Xenopus tropicalis: one gene and its partner. The protein of the gene in region 1 interacts with the protein of each later gene in a biochemical or structural test. Links are inferred from orthologs where the notes say so. Each region holds a gene or a part of one and is shown on either strand. Other genes may lie near its edges.

Region 1 (4,099 bases):
CCAAAATACTACCACAAACCCACAAAATCAAGGACAAGTAACCATAATAAACTTTAGTGCTGACGTGAGCGTATTGGCTACACTGTGCCTTTAATTCTCCACTGTATTAATCTAATAGTCATATACACGGCCCGCATTAAAAATACAATTAAGGGGCAGTTCACCTTTATATTAACTTTTGGTGCAATGTAGAGAGTACTATTCTGAGTTAATTTGCAGTTGGTCTTTTATTTTTTTTATTATTTAGGTTTTTAAGTGGCAACTCTCCAGTTTGGTATGTCCAGCAGCTATCCGGTTGCTGGGGTCCAATTTAACCTAGCAACCAGGCAGTGGATTGAAAGAGAGACAGAGATATGATAGAGGAGGGCCTACATAGAAATGTAAGTAATACAAAGTAACAATAACAATAAAACTGGAGCCTCACAGAGCAATAGGTTTTTGGCTGCCGGGGTCAGTGACCCCCATTTGAAAGCTGGAAAGAGGCAGAAGAAGGAGCAAATAATTAAAAAACTATACAAAATAAAAATGAAGACCAACTAAAAAGTTGCAAAGAATAGGCCACTCTGTAACAGAGTTAACTACCCCTGTAATGAAAAGGTTTCACAATCTGGCTGCACTGCTGGTTCTGACTACTGAAACAATGCAGGGATACCCCGGAGGAGGCTGGACTTCTGCTACATGTGAGAGTCCCAGAGGACAGGAAGGCCCAAATGCTGCTTTGATTTCATTTATCAATTACAAAAAACCACTAGAATGTATAATGAATTTATATCGGCAAGTTGCTTAGGATTACATTATCGAAACAGTTTTTGGGTGCAGTTGCCCTTTAATGCTCCATACCATACACTGCAGCCACATTGTTATCCGACTGCTGCCCACCAGCATATCCGGCTATACTTTTTTACACAGAGGGGTAAAGGAAGAGTTAAGTGGAGCCACGTTTTAGGGTGAAGACACACAGAGCTACTTAGTAGCAGCTACTTGTCACAGCGACAGAAACAGACAATGCTGATCATTTACTGATAACTGTCTCTACTTGTGCTTTAGCAGAGGCAATTCTCAGTATTGTCTATGGCAGGGGATTTTCTGGAGTTTAGTAGCCGTGACAAGTAGCTGCTACTAAGTAGCCCAGTGTGTCTTCACCCTAAGTGTTTGTATCAAATAGTATTATGCAGGATATTGTTATTACTACATTGAGTTTTGCCCCTATGCCCCGAGAGTTACAGAGAGACAGGAATGGTGACTTAATTACTATCAAACTGGATTGTGGGCCCAGAGGCCCATTCCTCGCTCACGGAACCGTTACAAAGACAGGGCCCAAATTCATTTACGAAAATAAACCGCTTTGAAACGATACAGCGCGGCTCGGCATGAAAATGCAAAACACATAATTTGTCATTTATTTCCATTACCCTCATTAAGTTGCATTCACCCAATAATAGCCAGAGGCAATGTAACACAGGAACTAGACCTGTACAAGTGAAGCTTGTAAGGGCATGCTGGGAGTTGTAGTTCCATAACAGAAGAACCCCCATAGGTTTGTGGATAAAGCGCTACTCTGAGAATACTGCATAGCCCAGATATGATGCTATTGTTATTATACTGGCGATATTAAAAAAAATATTCATTTCAATCCGAGCGCAATTGAGGCCTAAACGCTTATCTAGCAGTAAGTTCCCTGCGTTACTAACAGCCCCCGTATAGGGAAACGGTCTCCGGCTAGAACGTTCTACTAGCGGTAAATGAGGTTATCTTGTCATGGTCTAGAGACAGTCCCACCCACAACAGTCTAGAAAGAATTTGTTTGCCATTGTCTCCACTGCAGGACAAACAGCAAAACAAAGATCTTCCCATTAGGACAGACGGATAATCCAACTCTACGAGCGGCGCAAAGAGACTATTGTTCGGCGCACGTTATAGATTGGGATTATTTATACAGAGCATTATCCGTACAGATGTTGCCGCGGCGCATCTGGACATAGGCATTAACGTGCCACAATTACAGATGTCTTCTACGAGAATAATGGGCAATAAAATTGTCAAATTGATAATAAAATAAGAACAATAAGCCAGGCGCGAGCGGCACCGCCGCGGTACAAGGGACGGGGATTGTGGAGAGGGTATCACCTACGTACAGTGGTTGGAACTGCTCCAGTGTTGACTTCGAAGTGGCGTCCCGTAGGGATGCATGGTCCCGAGTCCTTTCTCCTGCAATAGGCAAGCCCGGTTCTGGCTATAGAAATCCATCATATGGTAGTGCGTCGGGCTAGTGCCCAAACCAGGAACGTCCACATTCTCGTACATCCTACAATCCCTTCCAAATTCACCATATAACAAAAAGAAAAGAAAAAAAAAAATGGGGGGGTGGAAGAGAATTCAGCAGTCTGGGGTTGAATTGGAATTTTTAGGGTAATAGGGGGGGAAAAACCCCAAAGATCCGGTAGGAAATTGTTATGGACTTAGGAGGAATCCCACAGCAGAGCCATTGGAGATTCTCCAAGTCGGTGGGAAATGCAGGGATGGGCTTCTGCAGGCAGATCCGCTGGGAATATCACATGGGAGACTCTCCGCACGGATTCCATCAAATAACTGGAACTGGGGGGGGAGTCCTGGGTGTAAAACGTGAACCCCACTAGCTGCATATAGGGTGGTCCGTGCAGAGCCTTTCCTTGTGTCCCAGAACCCTACATGCCCTTTCCATCATGCTGCAGCGTAGCCCAATTTTTTGCTTCTCAATCTGTTGTTCTTCCGGCTGAAGTCATGGAATCCCTGGCACAGCACAACGGGGGCAGAACCCCCACTCCGAACCACTTAATTTGGGGGGCACCCAGTTTGGCTGGGGATCAGGGAGAGTGGCAGGGGATTAAAAGGGTTGCCCGGCATGTCGATCCCTTACCTATAAGTCTTAATTAGGCCAAATCTGTTGGGGATCAGCTCCCAATCCCTACAGGGGCAGCTGGAGTCCTTGCAGGCAGATAGTGTGAGATAAGGGGCAATTCTTCTCAGCAGGGGGAAGGGGGTTGCCCTGTAATGGAAGGTCTCTCTATGGACCCCCAGTCAACTTCTCCTGCTGCAGAATCTGCACAACTTCCTGTGTGGGATCTCCTTGTTAGCACAACGGGCTCCTTGTTAGGATCAATGCTAATGGGGACGGTTATCCTTGCACCCCCAGGGGCGACCGGTGCCACAGACTGAAGGATCCCTGGTCAGACGGAGGTATTCCTGCAGGCTTCCCTGGGTATGTGGGTTACTAGGCAGAATGGAGGCTCCATGCAGAATGGGGATGCCCGGTTTCCTGGTAACGCGGCGGAGGGGCTTCCCTGCTCTCCTGTAATGGGCCGAGGCGCATTGGGGGAATACTGTTCCTCTCAGGACTGATCCCCGTGACACACACACACCGCTCAATGCTGCAAACTCTACAGCCGTGTCTCCTCCTGCCTCCTCCCCCTCCTGATGGACTGGAGGCAGCTGAGCCTCGCAAGTCAACACCCCCTATCTTTTAACCCATTGCATGCCACTGGGGGCACAGCTCAATCACAACAAAGCCTGCCCTGCCCATTTCCCACCTTCCTGTGTATTCCTGCCATGATCTAAATACCCCAACCCCCCCCTTCAATACCCCCCTCATTTGCCTAATATCATGCATGTGACCTCTCAGTGACCCTCTCGCCTCACCTCCAAACGACCCAACCGTCTCCTTCTCTCACAGTGACATCACAGACATTTCCCCCCCCCCCCCCCCGCATATTTGGGAATCAACTGACCCCTCCCCCCCCCAGTACTAGTATGGCAGGCTCCTGCTAATAAATACAAATGAGTGTATATACCCCCACACCAGCCCAACACCAGTGGCTTTATAACTTATTCTGATTTTGGCCTGACAAGTTTTTTTTTCCCCCAAAAAAAATAAAAATAAAAATCACTGACTGCTACAACTTGGGTCCCTGCTATGGGCCATGGAATGTAAGCACTGTGGGACGCCCTTCCCAGGGGGCAGCGAGGGTTTTGGGGTAATTATCACCTGAGCAACTGACAATGGTGGCCAACTACAGCAGGTAGGAGCCACCAAGATGCCTGTATGAGGGTTAAGCTGGCCATA
Region 2 (2,156 bases), on another chromosome or scaffold:
CTTTCATTTTCAGTTCAGAATGCCTTAGATGTCACTGCACTAATTGTGTAACCAGTACATGGATACTGATATCAGGTCCCCCCATACTGGCACAGAAACAAGATTTTAGCAGGATGCATAGCTTGCCTTAATAACAGTGTCCACAAAATGGAGCCTGCATGTTTTCTGCAATTCCAGTGCAAAAGGAAATAAGTTTAAAATTATTTATATAGTGTAATTGAAGTTTATTTTGCTTGACAAACACAATAGAAAACAATTTGTAATTATTTCTTAGGGTGGCAGGTCCCCCTTAAGACACCTCCTGTCCCAGTCTGGAAATTTTACTCTTTTTAATGCATAAGATCACACTAGTAAATTACTGCCACACAACTAGAGAGGAAAATATATACATTTAAGGAATCATCAAAATCTTAAACTATACATGGTATAAAGTAGCATATATATATATAATATACTTTATGTAATAGCAGACTAGGTAGAAAAATGACAAATACACAATGTATCTTTAAAGAATACATTTATTTTGTTTTCCACTGAAGAAAAGTGACTATTTGCAACCAAAAAAAAATAAATAAATATTAAATTTCAACAGTAAACCAGTGTATAGATTAAGTGCTACACTTACATTTAACCTAGTGAGACTTGACTCATATCAAAATTGTTTTCAGTCACCCAAAGAACAATAAAACAAAAGTATCATTTTTTCTGTATTTTCTTTTCTTTATGGCAAGTATCTTTAACCTATTATGAATAATAACTAATACCACTGTTTTCTTGTTTTTGTTTGTATCTAAGAAAGCTTCTCAATAAACAAGGCTTTAAAATATCTCTCCAGCACCTTAAAGTGTATTTGGCACAAGTTAAAATATCTGGGATTGCAGACAACTTCAGTATTGTCAATATGGATGTCAACATCTTCCAGTTATAACTTGTTGTGTGCCATAAGCCACGTGACAAATGATGTGGAAAACGACTTAATAATTGTCACCTGATCATTTGCAAACTGTTTTACAATTTGCTCAATTCAAAGTGTATATAGGTGGCGTTTAAAGAAAACAAAAGCTGAAATATACAGTTCTATTGAGTAAATATGTTTTGTAACACAAATGTGTGTCATGTGTGACTTTTTGTACTCTTGTAAAAAAGTCACACATGACACACATTTGTGTTACAAAACATATTTACTCAATAGAACTGTATATTTCAGCTATTGGTGGTCCCACTCACACGAGAGAAGCTATTGTGTATATACTGTAGAACAAACAAGAATAGTCATAAAGGAACCAGAGAACATTATAACAAGGATTTCAAATAATGTAGTGCAATGCATGAAAATACATAGAAGCAACATGTACTTTAGTTATAATTTTCATTTATGTAGTCTGTATATAGTGTAGGGATAAACCAAACCCACTATTTTGAGATTCAGCCGAACCATGAATCATTTGTGAATGATTCAGCCAAATACTGAACCGAATCCTAATTTGCATATGCACACTAAGGCATAGAAAAAACGCACAAAATTTTCCCAACTTCCATGTTTGTGGCAAAAATTCACATGATTTTAAGGATTCAGATTCGGCTCAGTCAGGACTATGGATTTGGCCAAATCCTGCCAAAAAAGTCTGAATCTCAGCCAAATGCCAAACCGAATCCTGGATTTGGTGTATCCCTAATATAGTGACAAACAAATATAAGGAGTATAACTGTGGTCACGTTGCAGAAAGCATTTCTTCCTATGTAAGTGTCATTTCATTAACTCATTGAGTAATGTCACAGTATCATTCCGGAAAGGCTGATCCACTGTATGTAAACTCTTTATTGGCATTAAGGGAAGCTTTCACCACAGCATTCTTTTTCAAATGATATTAGCTATAAGTTATTATGGTTTCCATAACTTGCTGTTGCAGTTCTGGAGACATTTATACATGTCACAATAGTAGGTTTTTTATTTTACAAATAATGTTTCCAGCAAAAGTTCTTCCACATTTATCTCACCAGAGATGGGACTGAAAAAAAGTTTTGTGATCACTAAGGGGTTAACTTCTTTTACAGTGTCAAGTGCTTGAAGCATCCAGTTGAAGCGAGCAAGGCTCTGACTGTGCATCATTGAGATAAATTCCATTAGTGTATGCTGGGCTTCCAGCTGCAGAGTG

What was found. The genes of interacting proteins can lie anywhere in the genome.
Region 2: the proteins of rara (region 1) and nr0b2 form a complex in vitro, tested with the Homo sapiens proteins (2 studies listed by BioGRID). The link is inferred for Xenopus tropicalis from reciprocal best matches to the Homo sapiens genes RARA and NR0B2.

What each region holds. Positions count from the first base shown.
Region 1 is NC_030686.2:8,758,065-8,762,163, forward strand, and holds the start of rara (retinoic acid receptor alpha), read right to left. Parts: upstream 2,801-4,099; 5' UTR 2,305-2,800; coding exon 2,136-2,304; intron 1-2,135. UniProt on the Homo sapiens protein: Receptor for retinoic acid. Retinoic acid receptors bind as heterodimers to their target response elements in response to their ligands, all-trans or 9-cis retinoic acid, and regulate gene expression in various biological processes.
Region 2 is NC_030681.2:89,460,358-89,462,513, forward strand, and holds the end of nr0b2 (nuclear receptor subfamily 0 group B member 2), read right to left. Parts: coding exon 1,949-2,156; 3' UTR 501-1,948; downstream 1-500. UniProt on the Homo sapiens protein: Transcriptional regulator that acts as a negative regulator of receptor-dependent signaling pathways. Specifically inhibits transactivation of the nuclear receptor with which it interacts.